Elephas maximus indicus: one gene and its partners. The protein of the gene in region 1 interacts with the protein of each later gene in a pairwise test. Links are inferred from orthologs where the notes say so. Each region holds a gene or a part of one and is shown on either strand. Other genes may lie near its edges. The genes, in order: KRT40, SHFL, MTA1 and DLGAP2.

Region 1 (6,938 bases):
ACCTTGATAAACACTAAAATGCATAAAAAATTGCAATGTAATGTGACAGTTGCCTTAGGTGGGGTAAGTACAAATTGCTATAAAAAGAGCCTCCATCTCAGTGTGAAGCAGTTGGATGCCATTTCAGCTGAGTCTTGACTTGTGAGTTCATCCAGGTAAGAGATAGTAGAAGAGGATTAGACCAAGGAAACAGGACCTGCAAAGCCTGGAGGTATGGTCGGAGTCTGGTGTTTGTAAAAGAGAGTAACAGGAAAGAGCCTAAAAAGGCAAACTGGCACCAGATTGAGGAAGGTCATATATCAAACTTTGGACCTCCTAAGTGGAAAGTGATAAAAATAAAAAAATGATTATCACAGCAGAAGGTGTTATATTCTGGGGTAAGAGTATGTTACAAAAGGAAATTTTCTATTTATTTTTCTCTATTCCCAATGTTCACATGGAGTCCCTGGATGGCACAAATGGTTAAATGCTCAACTACTAACTGAAAGGTTGGCAGTTCAAACCCATCCAGAGGTACCCCAGGAGAAAGGTCTGGTGATCTGCTTCCAACTGTTCACAGCCTTGAAAACACTATGGAGTGTAGTTCTACTTCTGCAACACATGGAGTTGCCATGAGTTGGAACCAACTCAACAACAACTGGTTTGGTATGGTTTAATGTTCCTCACTGTGAGGATGATAAGCTATAAAACATATGCTGGGCAATTTCCATATTCTAAGATGAAAACTATAGATACAGATCATCATATAACACAGCACTAATTAATCAAGGCCAAAATAAATAGTCTTTCCCTGTGTGTATATATGATGTATATATATATATATATATAATAACTAGGAATCAATATTTTACAAATAGAAATCAGATTGAGACAGAAGGAAATATGTCTTATTTTACCTGCAGTTACTTTAAAATAATGACATTGCTGCATTTTAATTAAGTGGACCCTATGGTGAACAATCAAGACATGGACTTTCTTCAAAGATCTCTTCTCTTGACTCATTAGGTTAATGATTATGTTAGGTGCCATCGAGTCGGTTCTGACTCATAGCGATCCTATGTACAATAGAACGAAACATTGCCTGGTCCTGCACTATCCTCACAATTGTTGCTATGTTCCATGGATTGAATTGTATCCCCCCAAAATATGTGTCAACTTGGCTAGGCTGTGATTTCCAGTATTGTATGACTGTCCACGATTTTGTCATCTGATGTGATTTTTCCTATGTGTTGTAAATCCTACCTCTATGATGTTAATGAGTCAGGATTACAGGCAGTTATGTTAATGAGGCAGGACTCACTCTACAAGACAAGGTTGTTTCTTAAATCAATCTCTTTTGAGATATAAAAGAGAGAATTGAGCAGAGAGACACGGGGACCTCATACCACCAGGAAAGTAATGCCAGGAGCAGAGCGTGTCTTTTGGACCTGAGGTTCCTGTGCTGAGAAGCTCCTAGAGCAGGGAAAGATTGATGACAAGGACCTTCCCCCAGAGCCAACAGAGAGAGAAAGCCTTCCCCTAGAGCTGGTGCCCTGAATTCAAACTTCTAGCCTCCTAGACTGTGAGAGAATAAATTTCTCTTTGTTAACGTCATTCACTTGTGGTATTTCTGTTATAGCAGCACTAGATAATATGCCAAACCAAAAACCAAAACCATTGCAGTCAAGTTGATTCCAACTCATAGATAACTAATATAGCAGCACTAAATAACTAAGACACTATGAGCCCATCATTGCAGCCACTGTGTCAATCCATCTTGTTAAGAGTCTTCCTCTTTTTTGCTGACCCTCTACCTTACCAAGCATGATGTCCTTCTCCAGGGAGTAGTCCCTCCTGATAATATGTCCAAAGTACATGAGACAAAGTCTCACCATCCTTGCGTCCAAGGAGCACTCTGGCTGTACTTCTTCCAAGACAGATTTGTTCATTCTTCTGGCAGTCCAAGGTATATTCAATATTCTCCACCAACACTATAGGTTAGTAAGGGACTGTAATATTTCCTTGGATGTTTGTAATTTTTAATTTGCTTTTTAATCCTTGAACTCAACGGCTGTTGCGTAACAGCACCAATATGTCGTGAATCACTCCAAGAATTTGAAAAATAAGTTTTGATTTTAGAATCACTAAAATCAAGTCCAACTCTGTCCAGTGAATAAAAAATCCTAAAAGACTACTTTAATCCATCCTATAGAAGGTCCCCTGGTTTTGTTTTTTCCATTATCAGTTAACTAGGAAGTAGTGCTCAGAATTAGAAATAATTAAGTTTGTTCTGGATCATGAAATTTTTAACTTTGTCAGACTAATGCTTTTTCCTATAAGGATCTCAAAGATTCTGGAGGAAATTTTCCCTGTGTCACCTTTGAAAATGAAATAGATAACCACAATCACAGTGGAATAGATTATGGATCATAGTGGAGGTAAGATTGAAAAGAGAGTCCAAATCACGGAACACTTCAGGTACAAACTATCAAATGGGAAACCAATTTGCTTTGTAAGCTTTCTCCTAATGCACAATAAGAAATCTAAAAAATAAAATAAAAATAAAGTTTCATTTAAAAATAAAACAAAACAGGATCCAGGAAAGTTTTATCTCAAGTCTCATCCCCTTAGGGATTCCACCAGGGATTTCATCCAGCAGAATTGTCAGCCTGGAACCCACACCGTAGAATTTTTATCCTCCAAGTCCCAGTATTTTTAATTTTCATAAAATTGAAGTCTTCAGAAAAATTAATAAGATAAAGCAGACTCCATAATCTCACCGAAAGAAAAGTCTTCTATAGCTTTCTTGCCGTATTCTAAGGATCTCTCAAGAGCCTAAAAAATTATAACTTAGAATTTATATTTTATTCTTATTAGAAATACCTGAGTAACCTACAGCTATTCTCAAATACCTTACTTTGCATGTCATCAGGAGGGGCGAATCTCTGGAGAAGGACATCATATTTGATAAAGTGAAGGGCCGGGGAAGGCGTGGGAAATCCTCAGTGAGATGAACTGACACAAAGATGGCCACATCAATGGACTCAAATGTACTAAAGATCATAAAGATGGTGCAGGACCTGGCAATGTTTCCTTCTGTTGTATATTGGGTTGCCATGAGTCAGAGCCAACTCAACAGCAGCTCACAACAACAACATTCCCAAATAAGAAACATTATCTCTGATCCAAACATGCGACACACGAGAAGTGGAGAAGGCAAGTTTCAGCAAACCAAAGATGACAACTCCTGATAACCAATTTATATTTCGACCTAAAGGGCAAAAAAAGGTATGTAATGTGATCTTTCCATTTTCACCTAGAGAGAGAAGGTTCACGCATATACACATGTGCACCCATACACGTCAAATCAAGTACACACCTCACTCCTCTACCCTGTAAACACAAATGTGAAGTCAAGATCACAAATACCATTGCAAAGATTGCTAATCACACTGAATATTTTTATGGTGGTGGCAAAAATAAACGACATTTAATGATATGCAATATTCTTTTTAAAGGAGACACAATATTAAATGCACAGGATCAAAATCAGTGCAAATACTCTTATCCTTACCTGTAATCAGTTATATCTGTAATTATTGAATGGCCAAATGTTCTCTTTCTTCCAATATTCTGTCAAAAGGGCAATGTCCCCCGTGAAGATTTTCTGAAACAAGTATTTTATTATACTCACACACAGAAATCGTGTACATCCCGATTTAGAAACCTGGAGTTATCCCTCTTTTATGAGGCATAAAACTCCTCCTCTGTAAATAAACAAGACTAATGAAATGTTCTTAAGAAAACTGCCACCAACGATGTTAATGAAAACATCCAGAGCAGTCTGCAAATACCCACTTGGGGGGACTATATAAAAGTCTCAGAAAGGAAGAAGACTTTTGGAGTCAGGTAACTTGGGTTTTACAGCTAGTCTCTGTTCTTCACTTCCAGTAGGATGCCTTCTGAGTGTTCTCCCACTCGCTGCTCTTCTGAGTCTGGTGCCAGGGCTTCTGATCACCCATCTGTTTCAACGCGTTCTATGAAAACGACTTGTCTCCCTAACACCTGTGCTACAACCAGATGCCAGACCCCCACCTTCCCATCCACGTCTCGCTTGTCAACTGGTTGCCTCACACCATGCTACTTTGCTGGGAGTTGTAATATTCCATGCTTGGTGGGGAACTGTCCTTGTTGTGAGGATGGGGTGTTCAACAGCAACGAGAAGGAGACAATGCAGTTCCTGAATGACAGACTCACCACCTATCTGGAGAAGGTGCGTGGCCTGGAAGAGGAGAATGCAGCACTGGAATGCAGGATACGAGAACAATGTGAACAGGAAATCCCACTGGTGTGTCCTGATTATCAGTGTTACTTTGACACCATTGAAGATCTCCAACAAAAGGTCTGGCAACCCATTGCCCTAATACCTTTGTTTTCCCAACCTGTGATTTGCTTTATCTTTATACTAGAAGAGGACATTTTAGGCATGAAAGGAAACCAAGGGAGGAGGGGATTCCAAGAGCTAATGTGTTGTGGTAGAATGAGCACTGGACTAAGAGTCAGGAAACACCAGCACTAGCTCCAGTGCTGCCACGAATTAGTTGAGTGATGATAATAAAGTCGCTTATGTATAGGCTTTACCTTTATCATTTATAAAACGAGGGAAAACTGTGTTATATCTGAAATTACTTCTCATATAACACTGTATATTTGAACATAGAAAATGAAATGCCATCTTTTTAATTATATAATTTCACGTAGTAACCATTTTCTTTTACTGATGAATTTCTATTATCATGGACGGGGATCTATACAGTCATAATACAAACTATGGACAGAAAAATGTAACTGTGTTCATGTCTTATAGTCGTAAAAAACGAGCCATTTTACTTCTCTGTTTTGTTGTTAAATTGGCAATTTTTCTTCATGAGTGACACTGTTAATTTGAAAAGCAGGATGAAAGCTATTTTATGTTTTCTTATAAATATTTTAAAGGATAGTTACATCGCAATTAAATGAATAGATACCTAGTATTCTTTCAAAGAGCCATTTATTACATAACTTACTTTCCAGATTTTGTGCACGAAGGCAGAGAATTCTAGACTTGCTGTACAGCTTGACAACTGCAAACTGGCTGCTGATGACTTTAGGTCAAAGTAAGTTTAATTTGAATTTGAAAATGATTTATGGTTCTCCTTCTCTCCTCTCTCTGGTTCTTTTTCTCTCATAAACACTCTCACTGGGCACAAATGGTCTCTCTGTGTAATATTATTAAGCTAAAAATTCTCGCAAAACTCTATTTTATAATTATTTGGGATATAAAAGAAATTATGATATGTGGCTCCCTTGAGTCCATGTATCATTCGTCAGTACAGCCCCAGTACTTTGCACAGGACCCAGCAGAGTAAGCATTGGCTATATCTCTTTTGCTGCGAAAGGTACGAGAGTGAACTGTCCCTTCGCCAGCTGGTAGAGACTGACATCAGTGGCCTGCACAAGATCCTGGATGAGCTGACCCTGTGCAGATCTGACCTGGAGGCCCATGTGGAGTCCCTGAAGGATGATCTCTTTTGCCTTAAGAAAAGCCATGAGGAGGTGAGGACAGTGGCAAAATCCCTAAAGGACCCTAATGGTGACAGGGTTAAACTGACAGATGTTATGTTTAAGTGTATAAATTGAATCTGGATTGATGTTGCTTAAGCTGGAACAGAATTCCTCGAGGCACACTTGTTATTCGGCCTGATCACTTCAGTGTATCTCTGAATGAGACAACTCTGGCCAGCGCCCTATGAAGGAATCAAACTCTTCACTTGCCATTGTTTTTGCAGAGGAGTTGAGTAATTCCACAAATGGTTTCCCTTGGAGGCTTTATGACACCCCTAGCTTCAGCCCAAGAGGTATGAAATCGGACTGATAAACGCAGACTATGAAGTCCATTTCGAAAAGGGGATACCCATGCAATATTTCTCCATGATTCCAAATGTTCTGTACTTAAAATCATAAAACATGAAGTGTATGATAATGCCATGTTGCGGAGGTTGGAAAATGAAAAGTTGAATGATGTAACAAAGAAGGTTTTCTCTTTGAACATGTTTGATGATAGTAGTAGTTAACATTTATTGAGAGCTTACTATGTACCAGGACTTGTTTAAGTTATATGTATGTTAATTCTTATATACCTCTGGGAAAGGAACTATTATTATATCCACTTCTCAGATGAAAAACTGAGGCATTTATAAGTAGCGCTAAGACATTCAAACTCAAACCACCTGAATCTAAATTCCACACTTCCAGCCACTGTTCCAAAAAATAGAAATAGGATGCCATTGGGGTAGAATTTTGTCAAATTGATTTTTCCCCCACCACTTTGTGACATTCCTATTTCCACTTTCAGGAGGTCAACCTGCTTCTTGGACAGCTTGGTGACCGACTCAGTGTGGAGCTAGACACTGCCCCCACGACCGACTTCAACAGGGTCCTGGATGAGATGCGTTGTCAGTATGAAACAGTGCTCGCCAACAACCGCAGAGACGTGGAAGCATGGTTCGCTGTTCAGGTCAGCACCTGGAGCCAACACAATAGCAGGCTTCCAGATCCCTGCCTCATTCATTTGCTTTCTCTAAAAGTGCCTATGTTTCAGACAGAGGAGCTGAATCAGCAGCAGCTGTCCAGTGCAGAGCAGCTGCAAGGCTGCCAGACGGAGATCTTAGAACTGAAACGCACAGCCAACGCTCTGGAGATTGAGCTCCAAGCCCAGCAAAACTTGGTGTGTAAGGGAAAGACAACTGTTTTGTCACTGATGAAGCAGACCTTGAGATACTCTCCCTTCTTCCATAACCCAAAGAAGAGACAGTTCATGTGACAAAGGGCCCGGTTTCCAATTTGCAGGGCTTACATTTCCTTGCCTTTCCCAAGCATTGCTAAAGCAGGAATGACAGGTCAGCAGCTTGTACTGCCCC
Region 2 (6,932 bases), on another chromosome or scaffold:
TTGGTCTATGTACAGGTTCCTCATGTGCACAATTAAGTGTTCCTCAATTCCCAATCTTATCCATAATTTGTTATGATCCACACAGTCGAATGCTTTGCATAGTCAATAAAATACAGGTAAACATTTTTCTGGTATTTTCTGCTTTCAGCCAAGATCCATCTGACATCAGCAATGATATCCCTCATTCTACGTCCTCTTCTGAAAGCAGCTTGAACTTCTGGCAGCTCCCTGTTGATACACTGCTGCAACCGCTTTTGAATGATCTTCAGAAAAATTTTACTTGTGTGTGATATTAATGATATTGTTTGATAACTTCCGCATTTAATTGGATCACCTTTCTTTGGAATGGACACAAACATCCATCTCTTCCAGTTGGTTGGCCAAGCAGCTGTCTTCCAAATTTCTTGGCACAGATGAGTGAGCACCTCCAGCACTGTGTTCGTTTGTTGAAACGTCTCAATTGGTATTCATTCCGTCAATTCCTAGAGCCCTGTTTTTCGCCAATGCCTTCAGTGCAGCTTGGACTTCTTCCTTCAGTACCATTGGTTCTTGATCATGTATTACCTCCTAAAATGCTTACAAGTCTACCACTTGGTATATATCACAAATATAATCAAACATTTACTTACAATATCTTCTGCTTCGTGTTTCTCTTTCCCGCGAAGACCATGAACTCCAGGAGGGCAGAAACAGTGTCTCATTCTTGGACGTACCCAATACCATGCCTCCACTTGATATGAGTGAGGAAAACTGAAAGGAGAAATCTAATGAATTCTACCTTTGACTCAATTATACTAAAGTGTTGGAGGCTACACTTCTTATCACTGGTCTCAGCGCTTCCATTTTCTCCTTCCCACACCCTTTTATAAAAACAAAAGATAAAATGCAGTAATGCTCACTACAGAAGCCAGGCACATCTGCCCAGACCAAGACCGTCACAAAGCTCAGACAGAACTGTGGGTGGGTAGGCAGCGCCCCCGTGTGATGGGTGGAAATGCTTGTTGTTTTTTTTTGTTGTTGTTGTTGATCTACAAATGCCAACATTCAATAATGTGGTCACATCTTCTGCTTGTCTTTCCAGATCTACTCTCACCCACCTTCCCTTGTCCCTACCCCTCCCACCCCAGGAAAATCCTAATCCCTGTTATAGGGGAAACTGGAATCTGGAGAGATCCCTTCCTAACCTAGACAAGAGGGGACTTGTTGTGAATAAGGCAAGAGTGAGGGGGGCCCACTCCTCAGCTCTGTGTCCTAAGAGGCTGACTGCACCAATGGGTACTCTTGCCCTCTGGCTTCCAGTTGAGTCCAGCCAATAAGAGAATCTAGCAGAAGATGGGAGGGTGGGAGGAGAGAGAGGCTGGAGTATTTATTTCCCTCTCCCTGAACTATTTTTATTTATTGAATGTGTGCTGGATCTAGTTACTCGCTTTTAAGGTGTAGAATGTAGTGGGATAATGTGACGTGACTTCCAAGACTAGGTCACAAAAACTTCCACCTGGCTTTCCGTCTCTTGGATGCTTGTTCTGGGCCCTCCCACCAACAACCAGCACCAGCCTGCCAGCCATGTGAGTGAGTCACCCTGGAAGCAGATCCTCCAATCCCAGTCAAACCTTCGATGACTGCAGCCCTGGTCAACATCTTGGCTGCAATCTTATGAGAGACTCTGATCCAGAACAGCCCAGCTAAGCCACTCCTATACTCCTGACCCCAAAAACTATATAAGATCATGTGTTTATTGTTTTAAGCCACTAAGTTTTGGGTTGATTTGTTGTGCAGCAATAAACAACAAATAGAACTGGTGATAACAGTTCTATGCTCCCACCCCAGGGCCTTTGCACGTGCTGTTTCTACTGACTGGAACTATCTTCTCCCAGATAGCTCCCACCCTCCCTTCTTTCAGGTTTCCCCTCGAGCATCTTTTCATGTGTTTGTTGGCCATTTGCGTATCGTCTTTGGTAAACGTCCGTTCAATTCCTTTGCCCATTTTTTAATTGGGTCGTTTGTCTTTTTGTTGTTAAATTGTGCAAGTTCTTTGCATATTTTGGATATTAAGCGCTCATCAGACATATGGTTTCCAAAATTTTTCTCCCTATCTGTAGGTTGTCTCTTCGCTTTGTTGATAATTTCAGGTCTGTCCTCAAATATCATTTCCCCTCCAGCAGTTCAAATCCACCAGGCGCTCCTTGGAAACTCTACAGGGCAGTTCTACTCTGTCCTATAGGGTTGCTATGAGTCGGAATCGACTCGACGGCAGTGGTGGTGGTGGTGTTGGTCTTCCCTGATCCTATTCAGCTACTAAGAACCATGAATTGCTTGCAATTGTTAACAGGGTAGCTTTCAGAGTGGGAAGCACACACTCTACAAACCAACTTTTGGTGTTCAAGTAGAAGACATTAGAACACGTATACTCTTAAATCTCCATTTTTTTCTAATATACAGAATTTATTAGTACAACCACAATGCTCCTTAGAAGCAAGGATGGCGAGAGCACCTCTCACATGCTTTGGACATGTTGTCAGGAGGGACCAGTCCCTGAGGAAGAAAAGCATGCTGGGTAAAGTAGGGGGTTATCAAAAAAGAGACAGATCCTCAATCAGATGGACTGACACAGTGGCTGGAACAATGGGCTTAAGCATAACAACGACTGTGAGAATGGTGCAGGACCGAGCAGTGTTTTGTTCTGTTGTATACAGGGTCGCTATGAGTCGCAACTGACTCAATGGCACCTAACGACAACATTAGTACATATTTATAAATTAAGTATCCATATGGGAGACAGAGAATCGACATTTTTATTGATTTAAAAAAACAACACTTGATGCCGTCGAGTGGATTCCAACTAATGGTGACCCCATGTGCTACAGAGTAGAACTGCTCTATAGATTTGTCTTGGCTGTAATCTTTATGGAAGCGTATTGCCAACCCTTTCTTCCTCAGTGCTGCTGGGTAGGTTCAAACTACTAACCCTTAGGCTAGGAGACTAGCCCCAACAGTCTGCACCACCCGGGGACTTTTTCTTTTTCCTGATAGGGTGTACAAATGGGGGGAAAAAAAATTGGAGCCGTTTACCCTAACGTAATTTTGCACTCCAGGGGACATTTAGCAATGCTTGAACACATTTTTGATTGTCACAATTGGGGCAGGATGCTACTGGCATCAAGTGGGTAGAGACCGGGGATGCTGCTAAACAGCCTGCAATTCACAGAGCAGCCTCAAACTTCAGGCACCGGCTAAGGCCTCAAGCTTCAGGCACTCTGTGCTAACCCTTAACTCCTCCGACAAACCATCCCTGACGCCCCCTGCTGGCCCAGAGCCCCTCTTAAGGACTCCTCCAGTCCCCTGTGCGCTGGGTTAGAATTGTCTTGACCCATAGGGCTCTCGACCTTCAGATTTACAATGCAGGTGCCCCGGAGCCCCAGATAGTCTGATTCCAAAGAGCTGCTACGGGTCAGGGGTCTGTATTTTTAACAAGTATCCCTCCCGTAGCCCACCCGCCCCTTCGTACCTGGCACAGAGTACGCGACTCAAAGACTATTAGCGTGCCCACAGCAAGCCAGGTGCTGCTCAGTGCTCTACCCGAGGTCTCCTGACCCCCCACCAGAATGTAGCCACTACCATCATCCCCATTTTACAGAAGTGTAAACTGAGGTCCAAGGAAGGGGTCATAGCCTGTCCAGCAACTCAGCGCCAAGAGGCCCAGGTCCTAATTAGCGCCTGATTCCTCCGGAGAGAGAGGGAAGGAAAGGAAAGAAGGTGACGACCGATGGGTCCCCTCGAGCTGTGGAGGTGCGGAGACTTGCAGCGGCTTTCCGATGCAGCCCCGCCCCCACATGGGACGTGAAGACGCGGACCCCGCGCAGCGTGGGGACATGTGACCGACTGCAGAGGCCGCGCCGCCCCCCCCCCCCCCACGCGAGGTCTGCGCGCTCCACTGCAGGGCGCGGACCAGGGGCGCCCGCCTGGGTTTGGGGCGCAGGAACAGGGGCGGAGCCAAGGCGCCCCGCCCCCCCGAAACGAAAGCGAAAGAGGGGGCCAGGAAGGAAGGGCGGGCTGGCCCGAGGCACCGCCCCCTGCCCTGCGCGGCCGCCGGATCGACGGGCGCGCCCAGGTAGCTGGGTGGCCGGCGCTGCGTGCGGACCCTCGCGGGGACCTGCGCCGCCGCCACCATGTCTCAGGAAGGTGTGGAGGTAGGAGATGGCGACGGCCGCGCCGGGGGCCCGCGAGAAACGCCGGGAAGGGGCAGGGGGTGCGGAGGTGGCTTCGCAGTTCCCGGGAATCCCCATCATAAGCCCAGACCTTCCCCCTGGCCGGCGCGCGCCACTGTGGGAAAGGAGAGTGATCCCCCACATACCCTAGAACGAAATGCGGCCTCCCCGAGAAAAAGCGGGGGCTGCTGGGTCAGGGTTCGAAGGCCAGAGGTTACCTGGCCGGCCTCGCCTTACCCTGGGACGCTTGCCCTAGTCCCTCCCCGCTCCATTCCCCAATGTCCGGTGGGGACTTTGGCTTTTTCCAGGAAATGCCGTGGGGGAGGTGGGCAGAGGCCAAACCCGAGGGTCAAGTTCAGGCCTGGTGCTTGGTGCCAGGGGGAGGGGGAGGGGCGTTTGCGCCTCTCCTCCCCCATCGGAGCCCCTCTATCCGCGCCCAAGCTGGAGAAGAGCGTCCGGCGCCTCCGGGAGAAGTTTCATGGGAAGGTGTCCTCCCGCAAGGCAGGGGCTCTGATGAGGAAGTTTGGCAGCGACCACACTGGAGTGGGGCGCTCCATCGTGTACGGTGAGCCGGTGGGGGTCCCGGGCCTGGAGGGCTGCGTGTGGGAGCGCCGAGGGTGGAAAGAAACGCTGAGACCACCTCCTGTGGATCCCCAGCCTCGGGAAAGGTCTACAGTGGGCTCTGGGGGCCTGAAACTCCCACAGCGCCTCAGGGGCCCTTCACTTACGAGTTCTCTCTCCACCAGAGGTAAAGCAGAAAGATGGACAGGAACTGAGTAATGGCCTGCCTGCCCAGGTAACCTGCCCCCTTCCCTCAAGAACAGGGTAAAGAGGGAGAACAGAGAGGATCCCCCCACCCACCCACGGAGAGCTCCCTAGGGAGCAGGAGGGACTGGGCACTGCCGGTCCACACTCTTGGTCCAACTTCATTCATGTATTCACCTCTCTATTGTGCGTCCAGCCAGGGAGGTGGCAAACAGGAGGTGCTCGATACATGCTGGTTGTATTAAATCAGAGAGAGAGAGATACAAAAGTAGGCAGTGGCTCGAGCCAGCATTAATGTCAATAAGGGAAATCCCTAGAGATCAGGGAAGGCTTCTTGGAGGAGGTAATGCCAAGTCTTAAAGGACAGAGAGGAGTGAGCCCTGGGAAGCGGAGGGGACGCAAGAGGGAATGCCCTGAGCAAAGGCTGGAAGGTGAGAAAGGGGCACCTGAAAAGGCTGCGAATGAGCAGACTGGGGGCGGGGGAGGGGAAGTGCAGCAGGGAGCCCCTGTGTTGAATGAGTGAATGAATGAAAGGCTTTGAAGCACAGGTGTGACCTGGCTGCTTTGCCTTTTAGAAAGATGGTTTTGGTGGCTGGTGGACTGGGGATTTTGCCTGCTGAAAGGCCTGGCGTAGAGTTGTTGACGAGTGATAAAAATAATAGCAAAGGGGGGCACTGACGGAGCACTTCCCATATGTGGGGCTGAAGGATTTATAAGTGTTGACAGATTACAATCTCACAACAACCCCACAACCCCACAAGATAGAGCCTATTAGGTGTCCTCCCCATTTTACAGACAAAGACACTGAGGTACAGAGTGATGAAGTCACTTGCCACGTTCACACAGCAAACAGCTGGGATTTGAACCCTAACCACCTAAGAGCTCTGAGATGCCCCTCATTATGGCCCAGGGTTCCAAAGCTGGAAGTGGTGGAGCTGGGATTTGAACCTGGGTCTGTCTGAATCCAGAGCCCAAGCACTTAGCTAAAGGAGCACAGCCCCAGAGGCAGACCTGTCACCATGCCAGCAAACGTGTGCTGGGGATGGGGTGCTCACAGTCTGTCTGCTGGCAGGCAGGGAACACAGGATTCAGGCCTGCTGCTCCACACTCACTCAGGGTCATCGCCAGCAAGCCCCCTCATAGCTCTGAGCCTCAGTTTCCCTATCTGAGCAATGGGGATAACACACTTCTCAGGGCTGCTGTGAGCATAGCTGAGATGACAGGTGCAAGGTCATACACCTGGCTCTCAAGTGGGTGCTGCTCAATCAGCTCATCATGAGTTAAGGGGCGCCCTACTCTCATGGGGGGCCAGAGCCCTGCGTCCCTTTCTGGACTCCAGAGCAGGAGCTCCTCCGCCAACAAATGAGGGTGGAAAAGAGGCCTGAGCCCCAACCTGTTTCTGCCCCTGGTGTCTCCATCCAGGACCCACCAGAGGACATGAAGCAGGACCAGGACATCCAGGTGAGTTGGCAGCTGGGGCGAGGCCAGGGTGTGAGTGGGGGGGAGGAGTAGGGGGAACATCCATGGGGAAGGGTGGGACATCTCATGGGTGGGGAACGCATGTTGGGGGGCTTACATATGTTTGTTGGTAGAGGAGAGGTGACCTCCTCTCTCATCCCCACCTACCCTCACTCCACAGGCAGTGGCGACCTCCCTCCTGCCGCTGACAGAAGCCAACCTACGTATGTTCCAACGCGCCCAGGATGACCTGATCCCTGCTGTGGACCGGCAGTTCGCCTGTCCCTCCTGTGACCATGTTTGGTGGCGTCGTGTGCCCCAGCGGAAGGAGGTGATAATCCAACTCCTGACCCCCATCCTCATGGCTGACCCCCATCCTCATGGCTGACCCCCATCCTCATGGCCGAACCTCTGACCTAGGAACATCAACCTCAGAAAGCCAAACCCCTGACCCCCTGATCTTTAACCTCAGAGTTCAACCTGAGGTCCAGAGAGGGAAGCAGG
Region 3 (7,614 bases), on another chromosome or scaffold:
CTCACTTCTTAAAAATGATTCTCTCTTCTCTGAGACCATCTATGGAACGGCCCTACCCTCTAGACTCTCGGTATTGGCCATGCCCTCTGGTTCTAGGTGGAGGACCCTTGGCCCTGGGCTTCAGCTCCACCTTACGGGCCCACTGGGATGGCAACTCTGCTCCCTTATCTTTGGTGGGCCCACTCTCCTAGTCCATCTGAGTGGTGACCCCACCCCCTTGACCCCAATCGGCCCTGTTCCTCTGCCCCGTGGGCATGGCAGCCCCATCCCCTCAGCTTTGGCAGCAGCCGTATCCCCTGGCACACTTTAATGGCAGCCCCACACTTCAGAACTCAGTTTGTGAATATCTGACTGTTTGAAACCTAGGAGGTTGTGGCCCCACCCTTTGAGATCCAGGATTGCATGGCCCCATCCTTTGAAATCAAGAAGGCTTTGGTTCCTGTGCTCCTTCCAACAGTAATGCTGATTTCCAAGCTGATCTAGGAATGGTCCTTTTCTTTTCTTGGAGGACAACAAATGTAGCTTCTTTGGCCTTTTTCCTACCTGTAGAATTCCAAAAGGCAAACAGCATTCTTTAGTTCTTTCCCTGCCCCCTTCAGTTTAAGCTAGTGAGTTTTCTGCTGTGGTAGTTGGTTAGCTCCATCAGTCACAGGCTTAATCTCTTTAACACAAGATTGTGTAGCCACATCGTTGGTGAACATTCCAGGACACATGTCCTTAGCTTGTACAACAGAATTTTCCAAGTCTTTAAGTTCTGTTTTCATTTTGCACCATTCATTTTTAAGTCCATCTCTTTTTTTTACTATAAGTGACAAGGAGAAACTATGCAGCTCCTTTAAGATCTTGCTTAGAAATCTCATCAGACATATATCTAAGTTCATCATTTACAAGTTCTACCTTCCAACAAACATTTGAATATAATTCAGACAAATTCTTTGCCACTGCATAAAAATCATCACCCTTCCCCCATTGTCCATCATATGCTCATCATTTTCTTTTAAAGCCTCATCAGAAGCACACTTAACATTCACATTTCCATCAAAATTCTGTTGCTGGTGCCATATGTATCATCTAATTCATAGGGACTTTCTCTATAGCTCTTCTCACTTCCTGCCGAGCCCTCACCAGAATTGCCTTTCATGTCCATAATTCTACCAACGGTCTCTTAAAGGCAACCTAGGCTTTTACTATCAGTCACGTTAAAACTTTTCCAGCCTCTACCCATTACTCAATTCTGAAACCGCTTCCACATTTTAGGTATCAGAGTGGCACCCTACTCTCCTGGAACCAAATTCTTACTTATCTACTGCTATTATAACAGAAAGATGAATAACTTTAACAAACAGAAGTTTATTTTCTCACAGTTTAGAAGGCTAGAAGTTTGAATTCAGGGTACTGGCTCTAGGAGAAGTCTTTCTCTGTCAACTCTGAAGGAAGGTCCTTGTCTCTTCTGAGCTTCTGCTCCTGGGCAGTCTTCATGTAGCTTGGCATCTCTCTTCTCCCATCTCCACTTTTCACATGCTTGTTTAACCTCTTTTAGATCTCAAGAGATTAACTCAAAATACACACTACACTAATCCTGATTAACATAAGAAATACAACCCATTCCCAAATGGGATTATCATCACAGGCATGTTGTTGTTGTTAGGTGCCATCAAGTTGGTTCCAACTCATAGTGACCCTATGTACAACAGAACGAAACACTGCCCAATCCTGTGCCATCCTCACCATCATTGTTAAGCTTCAGCCAATTGTTGCAGCCACTGTGTCAGCCCATCTCATTGAGGGCCTTCCTCTTTTCACTGACCCTCCTTTTTATCAAGCATGATGTGAGACATAGTCTCGCCATCCCTGCTTCTAAGGAGTATTCGGGTCATACTTTTTCCAAGACAGATTTGTTTGTTCTTTTGGCAGTCCATGGTATGTATGTTCAATATTCTTTCCCAACACCACAACTCAAAGGGGTCAATTCTTCGGTCTTCCATATTCATCGTCCAGCTTTCTCATGCAAACCACAGGCATAGAGTTTAGGGCTTAGGACGCATATTTTTGAGGGACACAGTTCAGTCTCTGACATAGCCAGAGCCACTTTCCCAATCCTTGCTAGAATCTTCTGTGTCTTCGGCACCTTTCGTTCATGGCATGAGTTGTCCTCTGTGCCAGTAGCTCACCTGGACATTCATGGCATGAGTTGCTCCTCTGTGCCAATAGCTCACCTGGACATTCATGGCATGAGTTGCTCCTCTGTGCCAATAGCTCACCTTTCGTTCATGGCATGAGTTGCTCCTCTGTGCCAATAGCTCACCTTTCGTTCATGGCATGAGTTGCTCCTCTGTGCCAATAGCTCACCTGGACATTCATGGCATGAGTTGCTCCTCTGTGCCGCTAGCTCACCTGGACGCTTTTTTTGCTAGTCCTGACTTTTGATTACTTTGTTAGGTGTTAGGGGAAAGACATTTTATGCTGCAGCTTTGCTGACTAGAGGGGACGACTCCTTCTTTCACTGGTTTTGGAAACTTTGCCTATATATTATCGTCCCCTTCTGTGAAGTCCCTGGGTTGTGCAAATGGCGAATGCACTGACCTACCAACTGAAAGGTTGGAGGTTCGAGTCCACCCAGAGTTGAGGAAAGGCCTGGCGATCCGCTTCTGAGAGGTAACAGACTTGAAAACCCTGTGGTGCTCATCTCTACTCTGACGCACATGGGGTCCTCAGGAGTTGGGAGGCAACTGGCCTTCTCCTGCACCTAAGCTTCTCTTTCTTTTCTAGTCCCTTCCATCACAACCAAACGTAACCTCGACCCTGGTATCTGAAAGGAAGGGTCCCTCTCCCCCCGCCACTGTCCTTCCAGCTATGCTTCTTGGAGAACTGGTTGTCCTGCAATCCCTACTAGCCCCCCCTGACTGGGTCCAGTCTGGCCCCCTCGAGCCACCAAGACAGCCCTTGTAGCCAAGGCATCGATGAAGCCCCATTGCTCACTGTGGTGTTCCCCTTTCTGGTTTGCCTGGCCACTCCATGGCACATGATGCTTTGACCAGCTCCCTCCTTGGGAACCCCTTCCTGGCTGTCATTCCAGCCCACTCTGGCTCCCTTCGCACCTCACTGGCTCCTTCTGTACAGAACTTTCCGTGGTGGGGGCCCTCAGCGCTCTGCCCCAGGCCCCTTCTCATCCCCGCTCTGTCCTTGGGATCTTAGCACGACCACGGCCCTTGACCATGTCCCTCCCATCCCTTCCTGAACCAGCTCCCTCCTGAGTACCCCCGCCGCCCCAAGGCCTCCATTGGATGTCCCATAAGGATGTTCCTGCTCCCAAAGCCCTCACACAGCTGGGTGAATGGGGTAATAACACTTGTTGCTCCAGCTGCCCACCTGGAGCCACTCCTAACTCTCTTTATCCCTCTCTGACGCTGATGCTGGTCCGGGCTGGGACTCGCCCAGTCTGAGCTGCTGCCTTGGCCATCTCATGCTTCTCACTGCTGGTGGTATCTGGGCCACGGGATTCTCTATTCTCCCCAAACCTTAGCAAGTAAGCACAAAAACAAATACACGGTTACAAATTGTGACCAGCCTTGGGGCAAAAGCTGGGTGCCTCTCTGTGGACAGTGGGATCGTCTCTCCTGGCCTGGACTCTCCTGCCTTCCCTGTTCACTGGGCGTCACACCTCCCAGCCCCACTTTGGCCCTCGTGAGTCAATGAGGCCTTCCACAGGTGAGGCTGCTGGACCCTGGCCTCAGGCAGGGCCTTCTGGAGAGTGACCTCAGGGCCTTACCCACTGCTATTCCCTGCTCCTGAGACAGGGAGCCCTCAGCTGGGATCTGTGGAGTGAGTGAGAGGCAGTATCCTCACCGCTAACATTTACCCCTTATTATGCTGCGCCAGAGGCCCAAGCTAACTGCCCTGGACCCTCAGAACAAGCCCACCGGGGGGCCTGACAGAAGAGGAAACAGAGGCCCAAGACAGTCAGGCACTGTCCACATTAAGATGGGGCTGCTGGCCGTCTAGGATGTCCAGGGAACACCACAGGGCACAGGAACGGGAAGCAGCCTGAGGGGTGGGGACACCGGCTGAGAGGTGGGGGCGCCGGCTGAGGGGCGGGGGCCCGGGATGAGAGGTGGGGGAGCCGGCTGAGGGGTGGGGGCCCGGGATGAGAGGTGGGGGAGCCGGTTGAGAGGTGGGGGCGCCGGCTGAGGGGCAGGGGCCCGGCATGAGAGGTGGGGGAGCCGGCTGAGAGGCGGGGGAGCCGGCTGAGGGGTGGGGGCGCCGGGCGAGGGGCGGGGGCGCCGGGCGAGGGGTGGGGGCGCCGGCTGAGGGGCGGGGGCGCGGCGCGCGGGGTCGGATAACGGCCCGCGCGGTGGGCGGTGGCGCCCGAGGCCCCTCCCCGCGCCGCGCCGCCGCCGGCCGCTCCTCCTCTTCCTCTCCCGCCCGCGCCGGCCTCCCGTCCCTGCGCGGCCTCGGCGGCGGCGGCGGCGGCGGTGGCGGCGGCGGCGGCGGCGGCGGCACAGCGCGGCCCCTTTAAACCGCCCGCGGCCCCCGCCCGCGCCCCCGCACCGAGCCTCCATTTCCCGGCCGCCCGCCCGCCTCCCGCCTCCCGCCCGCCCGCCCGCCCGCCCGCCGGCCTCCCGCCGCCGCCGGCGCGGACATGGCCGCCAACATGTACAGGGTCGGAGGTAAGGCCGCGCCCGGGCCCGCCGCCGCCTTTATCCCCGCGCCGCCCGCGCCCCCGCGCCCCCGCCGCCGCCCCGGCCCTGCGCCCCGATGCCGGCCCCCGCCTCGGCCCCCCACCCCGCCCGCCGGGGACCCCGGCGCCACCCCGCCCCTCCCCCACGCAGGCCCGCCGGCCGCACCCCGCCGCCCGGCACCCGAACGCCCGGCACCCCAACGCCCGCCCCCCGGCGCCCGGCACCCCTGCCCTGCCCCTCCATCTTCTCTTCGGAGTGGCCTGGCCCTCGCGCGCGTCGCCCCGGCATGTCGCCCCGGCCCGAAATGGCCCCCGGAGGCCGGGCGGCGCGCTGAGCCGGCGGGAGGCGGGGGCTCTGCCCACCTGTTGGGGGCCGAGTGGGTGGTCTGTGGGGCCCCTGCGGAGGAGGCGCGCGGAGGCGCGGGCTGGTGGCGGGGCATCTCCGGAGGCACCTGGGTCCAGGGGCTTCAGCTGGGGCCTGGGGCCTGGGGCCAGGGGCTGTGGAGCCCCTCTGGAGCACGTGGCCTTGGAGGCTCCTCGTAGGCACCCTGGGAGCAGGAGTTTTGGGGTCCCCCTGGGGCTGTGCGGGTTGGCCCATATGCTGGGATGGGAACAGGTCCCTCTCGAGGGATAGGGTGCTCATGCGCCCCAAGGCCAGCATTCCTCCCTCGGAGCCCCTGGCACAGCATAGAGTGGCCCCCGGGACACCCAGAGTTGCTTGGGCTGCGTGCTTGCGTGGGGGCCCCACAGCAGTGTCCCCTTGCAGAGCCGTCATAGCACGCGGTCACCCAGAGCTTGTCTCTGAGTTGCCCCAAACTTTTCCCTGGCTCCCACTAACGCTAGCCCGTCATGGAGACACTTTGCAAGGATTGGGGAATGGGCACAGGGTCAGGGGGTACAGCCCCCAGATCTGCCTGTCCTGTGGTTCAGTGCCAGGAGGTCCCTAGCCTGGCCTTGCCCTCGGTTGTAGGGGCTCTGTGGGATCCTGGGGGTTCCTCTGCTCACTCTTTTACAGGGAACTGAGTAGCCATGCTCAGGCCCATGCTCTTCCCTGCTTGGACCCTCGGGTACAGCATCACCCCCAGACCTGCAGCTCTCCACCCCCCAGTCCCTCAGCCTCCTCACTGTGAGGGGCTGGGTGTGGTGCCCTGCTGTGGAGGTGTGTCAGGCCTAGGCAGTGCTGGGGTGGGGGGTGAAAAGGGGATGTTCCGTCTGTCCTCACTGCCCCCCACTGGCCTGCCCCCACCTGGTCACTCTGACCCTGGGTGCCCAGGACGCTTTCTCCCTTTCGCGATGGCTCTGCTGCTGGTGACTCTGGCAGAGACAGGCGTTTGGGGGTCCCCCTGGTCCAGCCAGGCGGGCTCTGACCTTGGGCTGGTTGCTGGCCTGCCGTCCTCACCCCCATCTGTCTTCTCCCTGGAGAGGTGCTGTGTGTCACCAGAGCAGGTACCCTCCCACCAGCCGCACCACCCCCCAGAGATGGGTGCCATTGCCCCTGAATGCGTGGCTTTGGGGGAGCACCATTTGTGGCTCCCTTACTCCCCACCAGCTGGGGTCCTCCTGTGTCCTGACCAGCTCCTCACTGCCCCTGCAGGTGCCCCTCTCCCTCCTCTGGGGTAGCTCCACTTGTCGTGCCCCAGAGCCCATTGGGCCCTGCCAGTACTACCAGCTGCCCAATGGTCCTGGGCTCAATTTCCATTCCACTCACAGGGCCCAGGCTGCCTTCTGCAGAGTGGTCTTCTCAGCAGCTCAGGTTCCCAGTCTCTAGCCCCTGATTTAAGGTCTCCTTGTTGAGTGAATGAATGACATGGTGGCTGGGGGTGGAAGGCCAGGGCAGAGGCCGGGTTCGGATTCCCTTGTGCTGGGCTGGAGAGGGTGGAATCAGGGCCGTGAGGTCACCCCAGGGCCGTTGGATGCTGGCCCCCTTCACCACTGAGCAGGTGCCCCTGGCCCAGAGCCCCTGCCCTGCAGCTTCTACAGCCCTCGTGGCCTGAGCTGGCCCTACGGCTCGCCGAGGGCCGGCCCTTTGGCCTGGGGCTGTGGTGGCGCTGGTGCTTCCAGGGTGCAGAAGGCCCTGGAACGGACAGCCTAGGGGAGTTGGCCCTGTGCAGGCTTCACAGTGTGGGTCCATGGGATGTGCCCCCACCCAGGCCAGCTGGAGAGGCCACCTGCAGAATGTGGCCTCTCAGGTCAGCCCAACCTGGTCCACACCTCAGGCCCCCCCAGGCCTCAGTTTCCCCCACTTGTACGAGAGCTCTGTCTGCCCTCCTGCTGTGTCTGGTTGTGTGCGGACCTTTCTCACCTCTAGGGAGACCTCTTCCAGGGAGGCCTGCCCGACCCTCACTTACCCAGGTTGTAGGGACCCAGCCCTGGTTAGGATACAGCACAGGTTTCCCAGCAAGTCCTGGTTGGGGCCTCCCATCCCTATGTCTGACCCTGGCCTAGCACCTGGTGTGGGCTTGCAGAGTGACCGGGCAGTGCCATGGGGGTGGGCGTGGATCCCCCAGCCATGAGATGATTGGGCCCTCCCTGAGTAAGGGGCTTTTTTTTCCCTTTATTTGTAGACGACAAAGCCGGTAGGTTAGGGTTCCTATCCCTTAATATGGAGCACTGCGCCCCGGCCATGCCCTCAGGATGCTATGGTGCCACAGATGTGCTGTGCCTCACTCTCGGTGGCCATGCCAGGCCCCTGGGGTGTCCGGCTGAAGCCTGATGAAGGCCCTGTGGCCCTCAGGGCCTGGATGAGGGGCCTGGGTCCCATACCCTACCCTCCCAGGAGCCCCCCGAGTCAGTCCAGTGGTTGTCCCACACCCAAGGGTGCCCTGAGGTCCGCCTTGTCACTGCCCCACGTTCAAATGGCACTCCAAAACTGCTGATCCCTCCCGAGCCTGCTTGGCAGCTCCCAGAGAACCATGCTTGTGGACTGGGCCCCAAGG
Region 4 (7,737 bases), on another chromosome or scaffold:
GGATCCGGATTTCTACTACCCGGCTGTCAATCATTCGCACTACAGCCGTAGATTGGCTTGGAAGTCACCGTCGGTCCGAACCGTAAAACCCCGCCTTCTGGAAGCTCGCTACCGCGCATGCTCAGTTATTTTGCTACAGTGCAGCGGGGAAAAGTTTTGAGATCTGGCTTTCGGGCAAATAAATTAAACCGGAGGGGTCAGTGGGTGGATGTATAAAACGGGTGACATTCAAACTTTCTTTGAAAGCATTTGCCGAGTACACATATTCTGAAACAACAACACGTATCCTCACTACCACTGATTCCCTTCGAATATTCTCTATTCTGTTTGCGCCCTAAGGTTTGGAAAACACTGGTATAAAGAGAAGACAAGAGAGTGAAAAGGGGTAGGTGCTTGGGCAGGAGATGGCTTAGTACTTACTCAAAACCATTTGTTCTAAAATATTAGCAGAATTTAGGGTGTGAAGAAGACTAAAAAAACTATGGAGAAGAAAACTTGGAAACGTGAGAAGAGTTGGAGAGTAAGGACTTGGCACAAGGTCTGTCTTAAACTACTATTTTCCACATACCTGCGGCTCACTCTTATAACGTAGAGTTCCCTTCTCCTTCTCACCTAATCATCTTCTTATACTTAGAGGAGAAACTCAGAGTCACCAGGAGTTGCTCACCCACAAATCTCCCTCTAAGCCACGTGTGTCTTCACTCCTTCCCTTTCTTTCTCCCGTCATAATTCTCTTCTATCCAAGCGACTTTCTTCCACACATAAAAAAAAAAAAAGAGACACATACTCGTGCATTATTCCATTGCACCTTCTCTGGAACCTCGATTCACTATTTACCCCTTTTTATTGAATTCATTGCTTTAAAAAAAACATTGACTGTATGTCAGGCACTGTTCTAGATACTGGAGGTACACCGGTGAATGGTCTAATGAAAGGAGACAAAGAAAATTAAGTAAAAAAATAGTATGCCATATGGCAATGAGTGCTTTGGAGAAACATGAAGCAGGGAAGGGAGTTAGAAAATGGGGAGATGGTGCTGGTGAGGGAAGGCATCATTGAGAAAGTAATTTGAGCACCGACTTGAAGGAAGTGAGGGAGCCAGCCTTAAAGATGTCTAGGAAAAGAGAGTTCAAAGGAGAAGGGACTAGAAATGTTTCAGGAGATTGCCTGGCATATCTGTTTGGGGAATAGCAATCAGGGCAGTGTGACTGGAGTGCAGTGAGCAAGGAGAAGGGTAGTGGAAGAGATGGGAGAGGAAACAAGGAGTCAGACAGGGTTGGGGAAAGATCATGACAGGTATTACATTAACCTTGGCTTCTCCAAGGAGTGAGATGGAAAATCATTTGAGGGTGTTGGGAAGACCACTGAAATTACATTTTAAATAAGTCACTTAAGCCACTATCTTAACAGTAGACTTTAGTGGGAAGAAGCAGGGAAACAAGTTTAAGTCCACTGCAGTAAGAAAGATGGTGACTAGAATCAGAGTGGTTGCATTAGAGGTTTGGGAAGAGGTAGTCTGATTTTTGATATATTTGAAAATAAAGCCAAAGAGATTTTCTGAGTGGCTAAATGCAGGCTGTGAAAGAAAAAGAGAAGCATACAATGGGTCTAAGTTTTTGATCTAAGAAGTGGAAGGCTGGAGTTGCATTAGCGAGATGGAGAAAACTTTGGGAGGATCATCTGTAGTTGGCAATATACAGTCTACACGTTAGGTTTTAGAAACTCATTAGACATGTGAATGACTTTACAGCTCAGGAGAAAGGTCCAGGACAGAGATACACAGTATATAAAGCTAAGAAACTGTATGAGATCATTAAGAGAATGAGCATAGACAGAGAAGTGGTCCATGGACTCAGCCCTGAGGCACTGTAAGTTTTCAAAAGTGGAGAGATGGGGAAGACCTAGCTACATACGGAACATGAGAAGCAGTGGTCAGTGAGGCACGAGAGAGGAGTGTGCTTTCCTGAAGCCAGTCAAAGAAGTGGGGGAGGGAGTGACCATTTGTTCCAAATGATGTTGATAGGTCAAAGGAGGACTAATAATTGACAATTGGATTTGTCAATGTGAGGTCATTAGTGACCTTGATTACAGTAATTTTGTTGGTGTGGGACAGGCAAAGGCTTGATTGGAACTGAACAGAGAAAACCGCAGAAGAGAAACTGGAGACATTGAGTACAGAGCACTCTTTCCTGGGGCCAGTGAAAAGGGGCAGTAACTGTAGAGAATGTGAGGTCCAAAGAGGGTGTTTTAAGATAGAAAAAAAGAAATGCACATGCAGTATATTTGTATATCAAAGGACTTGAACAAGTTGATATTTAGAAAATCAATAATACAGGAGACAGAGGGGACACAGCTGAAATACGTACGTCCTTGAAGAGGTCGAATTTTCAATGTGTTCTCTACATCAATATCCCCAGTGGCATTCAAACCTACTCTGGAATTTCTCACCTGAAAGCCAAACTTCTCAGAAACCTTGTATTCTCTTCCAGCCCTATTTTTCTTATCTCTTTAACACTCAAACTTCTTGAAAGAGTTGACTCCAAAGTCTGTCTCCATGTTGACATCTAGAATGGACTCTGCGGTCCATCTGGCTTCCGTTTGTACTCCTCCACTTTGACTGCTCCTGCAAAACTCACCAATGACCTCCCTGTCAGCAATTCCAGTGCACTTTTGCCAGTCTTTAAATACTACCAGTGGTCTACCAGAAGCATCGTCCACCCAAGTTCCAGACCACACAAATCCACAGGGGAGATAAATTGGAAGATGCTTTTAAAGGAACACTAAGGAGAAATTAGATTGTTGTCACGTTTCTTTGATTCATCTTTGTATACCCATCGGCATCTAAACTTTGCTTTGAAAATGCACTGGAATTGATTAATATTTGAGCGATAACTTCTATGAAGAAATCTAATGGAGGTAGTGTTTTTGTTTAAAGACCTTGGAATTCTGGAAAAGATTGGTTTATCCCATTCCAAGTATTTTCATCATCTGATTCACTTCTATTCTAACTCCTATCCATTTTTCTGTAAGCTTTCATCTTGGTGTTTTTACTTTGTATAATTGCTTTCGTGTAACTTATCTCATTTTGACTTCACAACAACTCAGCTAGGGATATGAAAAAAATCTATTATTATCTCTACATTAAAGACTGGCCTAAGGTAACTGCCTGATACAACTAGGAATTAAAAAAAAAAAGGGGTCTCTGAGTATCAGTATACTTTGTTTCCCTGTAGGCCATAATAACTTTGCGTTGCTACCATCAAGTCAGATCTCAGAAGCATATTCCCACCTATTTAACTAGGACCTATCAAAATATGCCCAGTGTTGTTAAAGTTTCCAGACCGCTACAGATTTTGAACACAACTGATTTAATTTTTCTTCCTTATTTTTTCACTTGGAAACCCTGGTGGCCTAGTGGTTAAGTGCCACAGCTGCTAACCAAAACGTCCGCCAGGCGCTCCTCGGGAACTCCATGGGGGCAGTTCTGCTTTGTCCTATAGGGTCGCTGTGAGTCGGAATGGACTCGACGGCACTGGGTTTGGTTTTTCTGTTTATTCTTTCACTCGGGTCATTTATACGCTGCCAATAGTCACCCCACGAAGGTGGCAGGACCTCATCTAATGGTGCTCACTGCCTTTCAACCCAGGTTTACAGACAAGCAAATAGATAAAATTATATAAATATAATTAATAAAGATAATGCTGTTCATGAGATTAGCGGTCGCCACTGATGGATTCCTTCTTCCCGGGACAGACAGCACCGGCAAATTTCGACCCTTTGGTTAGCAGCCGAAGCACTTAACCACCAGGGTTTCCACGGGAAAGTACGCCCATGGAAATAGCGAGAGTCTCGGTTTTGCAACGCTCACAGTAACAGGATATTTTCCAGCCGCAGCAGTAACCTTGCAGCGAAATTCCCTTGCAAAGAAATACCTTCTCTCGTATCTTCAGTGGTCCTCTCCTCTCTCCGCCAAGTGAGCATCTTGGGTATTGAGCAGACTTTAAATTGTAAATTAATCCCACACATGAATGCGCTAGCGCGTCCCTTAGTCCGGAGTGGGCTGGACATTCCCATATGTTGAGGTGTGTGCTTATAGTATTCTAGTGCTAACTTTCCAAAACGCTTTTAAAACCCGTAGCGCATGTAGCATTGAAGCTCCGGACCAGTGATGCTGGCATGTTCTCGGGGAGCCGCCTCTTCCCTCTCTGTCCCCGGGTGACCCGTCCCGCTTCCCCGTGCAACAGTTGGTTGGATTGGAAGCGCTGCCGCTTTCCACACGGCGGCTCCTGCAAAAAAGCTTCTCTTTGAACGCTCCTCTGGGGGTTTCCGCACTAGAACCGGGCATGCTCAGTAGCCAAAGCAGGTTGGGGTAGCGAAGCCGCAGCTTTTGCGCTACAGTTTCAAAGCAGCGAGAGGGAATGGCTCCGGACCTTCTCTAGATGGAGCCCGGCGCGGGCCGGCCCCCCCAGTGCGCCGATGCCTCCCCGGGCGCGGGTGTGCGCAGGCGCCGACCGTGAGAACCCGTGCGCCAGGCTCCGAGTGCGGCTTGCACAGCGCGGCGGCGGCGGCGGCAGAGCCGGACGGCGCTCAGCACCTGCACCGCGGCGCCCGAGCGCGAGCCGGAGCCCGAGCGCGAGCCGGAGCCGGAGCCCGTACAGCACGCGGCCGCGCGCCTTTGCCTGCTCGCCTGGCTAGAGGGGTCGCCACCTCGCCATGTCACCCAGCACCTGCTGAAACAGTAGTGCCTGAGAATGTCAGCGCTGAGAAAGGTAAGGACCGCTGGCTCCCGGAGAGGCCCCCGGAACCTGGGGAGAGGGAAGTGTAAGGGCTGCTGAGTGCCGTCGAGGCGGCGCGGGGTCGTGGTGCCGCTGTCGCCGGTGCCTGGGTGACAGTCTAGGGCATGTCGGGGACTTTCTACCGGGAGCAGACATGGTTTGGTGTGGCTTGGGGGCAGTAAAGTCTGCACGACCCGTTGGAAGCCCCTCCGAGGGGAGGCTTCGGCGCGGGGAGCTGGGGGCGGTGTGTGCAGGCTAGGGAGGGAGGTGGGGGCGTCATCTGCCACTTCTGGGGGCGTCGGCGCAGGGCGCCCTGGCCGCTTCGGGGGCGGGCGGTCCACTCTGCCACGCACGAGCTCTCCAGTGCTGGAGTTGGGCCAGGGAGACCCCGGAGCGGCCCGGCAGCGCGGGTCCGCGAACGCCATCCGGGGAGCGCGTCGGCGGCGCGGGGAGCCCCGGGTGCCGGGAGCGAAGCCGCGGGTGCCGGGCAGTGGTGGGACCCCAAAGGCAGCTTGGTGGCCACAGGGAGCCTCGGGAGCCCCGGGAGGACTCAGGCGCTGGGGCCGGGGGCGCACCATCTCCCGCATCGCGCCCGGTTGCGCACTAGCTGGCGGTGCTCGGGGGGGGGGGGGTCTCCTGGACTCTGGGCTCCTGAGGCTGGCGGGAACCGGGCGCGGGGAGCGGGGCGCTGCCCGAGGTGTGAAACCCGCAGCTGTAGCCCGGCGGGTTGGAGGGAACCGGCGGGCAGATGCCAGTAAGGAAGCGCAGCCCGAGGGGTAGTTGGAGAGCGAGGGGTCCTCAAACCTGGCACCGCTGGGGGTGGCCGCGAGGGGATGGGGTGGGGGGCGGCGGTTAGCATTTCCAGAAAAATCCCCTCTCCCAACACGGACCCCCACCCCCACCGCAGGCTGGGCTGAGCAGGGGAAGCGCCGACGGGGACTGGGAAGGAAAGAAACCTGCTGGGAGCCCGGGCTGCGCGTGTGGTCCTGCTGGGGCGGAGGGGAGCGGGGAAGGAGGCGAGTGCTGCCTGGTGGTCGCCTGGGGCGGGGAGGGGGACCTCAGGGGATGCGCGCGGGTGTGCGCCTGGAGGGGGTGGCAGCCGCCCGGCTTTCCAAGTGTGAGCGAGGAGCACGGGGTTTTTTTTAAGGGTGGTTGCTATGCGAGGCGCTACCCAGCGCAGGCTTCTGTAACTAAGCCTCCCCCGGCAGCGGCTGTTGCTGTTCTCTGGGCTTGTTCGCTAACGATTGCAGGAGAAATAATGAGGATGTAATTATTACAGCCCTGGCGCTGTGAGGGGGTGGGGGGCGGAAGGGAAGGTCTCTTGCTATCGCGGGCCAGGTGTGCCTGGTGTGGGGGGCGGCACCTCTTTCCCCTTCTACCCCTCCTTCCTCGCCCGGGATATTCTCTACCGAGGGGGTTCCGAGCACAGCTGGACTTGGGGATCTGGGGAGAGGGTGGGCGGACTCTGGGAGATGGAGTTCGAAGAGGTGGGGAGGGGTGCGGAAAGGCCGAGAGCTTTAGAGAGATCAGGAGAGGTTCGCAGGTAGAGTAGGAGAAAGAGAATACGGTCACGGTGGGGACTAGAAAACGTGTTGGCTGGTTTTATTTCCCATCGGGAACTAAAAGGCATCTTCCTTTTGGCTCTTCCACACTTCTTAGGTAATTTTTATTCCAGCTTCCTGTGCTTTGCGTCTCTCAAATGCATGGCGATTTGGGCAAGGGCTTCGAATTCTAAATTCATGACTTATCCGTGGCAGCTGTCTTGTATTGATTAAAAATAAAGCGATCGGCAGTGAATTCATCCTCTGTGTTTATTAACTATGCCAGCACGGACTGTGGGTGTTTTTAGAGCTTGAAATACAAAGCATAACTGCTTTTCCTGTCATCTGGGGACTTGGAGGCAGGAGGACTCAGATGAGGTACTTAAGAAAAGGACTTCCTTGAGGAAATACGTCCTTGGTGGCCTTGGATTTTTACTAACAGTAACCAGCTCCCCCTGTATCGTCATGGAACAGTGTATCTGATTGGAACTCATGGACTTTAGTAATGTGTGATTTCAAGAAGATTCTTGTTTCTAGATGAGCTCTGGTGGTGCAGTGGTTAAGCACTGGGCTGCTAACGGAAAGGTTATCAGTTCAAACCCATCGATGGTTCTCCTGGAGAAAAGACCTGGCAATCTGCTCATTTAAAGATTTCAGCCTAGGAAACCCTATGGGGCAGTTCTACTCTGTCCTGTTAAGGTTGCTATGAGTCCCAGTGACTGGAGGACACACAACAAAAACAAGAACTTGTCTGTAGGTGGTATATTGTATTTGTAATTAGAAGATGACTTGATATGTCACATAGCCTGAGGGAGTCCAGATAGCATATTCAAAAGGATCTCTTTTTCACGTGCCTCCAAGGTGACAAAACAGAAACCCTTTAACCCTTTTTGGAAGGAACATCATGTAGAGTTGAGGTTAATGTGCACTACAACTCAGTTTTCATTTTACTTCCCATTCTCTGAGACAGCTAAATAGGTAACCAAGGCAAAAATGGTGAAAGGATGAAAAAATGTTAATTTTGGCAGGTCAGGTTGTTACTCTGGTGTTTAAAAAAATGTCATTAATCAGGATTTTCCAGTAGCCAAATTGTCTTGTGCAGGCGGCTGGGTGACTCACAGCTTTGGCTGTAATAATAATTGTAGAGTGTATGTACCATTTCCTTTTAGATGGTGTGATTTTTTTTCATGGCTTGGAAGAGAACAAATTAGAATATTTTATACCCCACATCTGGCAATATGACTAGTGGACTATAGGGAATACTATCTGCTCAAGCACATCTGGGCTGTGAGAATTATGGACCTAATGAAAGACAGTGGTTAGAAGATAGTCCCAGCCTAAATCACATTACCCTTTCCTACTGTCCCTTCAGAAACCATCTCAAATGTCATGAGTTCTGTAACTGTGGGATTTTTTTCCTC

The links.
Region 2: the proteins of KRT40 (region 1) and SHFL interact in binary tests that used the Homo sapiens proteins (3 or more experiments, as listed by UniProt). The two-hybrid records come from large-scale screens. The link is inferred for Elephas maximus indicus from reciprocal best matches to the Homo sapiens genes KRT40 and SHFL.
Region 3: the proteins of KRT40 (region 1) and MTA1 interact in binary tests that used the Homo sapiens proteins (3 or more experiments, as listed by UniProt). The two-hybrid records come from large-scale screens. The link is inferred for Elephas maximus indicus from reciprocal best matches to the Homo sapiens genes KRT40 and MTA1.
Region 4: the proteins of KRT40 (region 1) and DLGAP2 interact in a two-hybrid assay, tested with the Homo sapiens proteins (2 studies listed by BioGRID). The link is inferred for Elephas maximus indicus from reciprocal best matches to the Homo sapiens genes KRT40 and DLGAP2.

The regions. Positions count from the first base shown.
Region 1 is NC_064837.1:48,073,169-48,080,106, reverse strand, and holds the start of KRT40 (keratin, type I cytoskeletal 40), read left to right. Parts: upstream 1-3,934; coding exon 3,935-4,381; intron 4,382-5,052; coding exon 5,053-5,135; intron 5,136-5,417; coding exon 5,418-5,574; intron 5,575-6,373; coding exon 6,374-6,535; intron 6,536-6,619; coding exon 6,620-6,745; intron 6,746-6,938. UniProt on the Homo sapiens protein: May play a role in late hair differentiation.
Region 2 is NC_064821.1:28,232,151-28,239,082, forward strand, and holds the start of SHFL (shiftless antiviral inhibitor of ribosomal frameshifting protein), read left to right. Parts: upstream 1-3,924; 5' UTR 3,925-4,166; coding exon 4,167-4,187; intron 4,188-4,646; coding exon 4,647-4,770; intron 4,771-4,951; coding exon 4,952-5,001; intron 5,002-6,392; coding exon 6,393-6,431; intron 6,432-6,609; coding exon 6,610-6,759; intron 6,760-6,932.
Region 3 is NC_064828.1:119,709,829-119,717,442, forward strand, and holds the start of MTA1 (metastasis-associated protein MTA1), read left to right. Parts: upstream 1-4,602; 5' UTR 4,603-4,639; coding exon 4,640-4,667; intron 4,668-7,614. UniProt on the Homo sapiens protein: Transcriptional coregulator which can act as both a transcriptional corepressor and coactivator. Acts as a component of the histone deacetylase NuRD complex which participates in the remodeling of chromatin.
Region 4 is NC_064830.1:6,902,381-6,910,117, reverse strand, and holds the start of DLGAP2 (disks large-associated protein 2), read left to right. Parts: upstream 1-4,724; 5' UTR 4,725-4,751; coding exon 4,752-4,769; intron 4,770-7,737.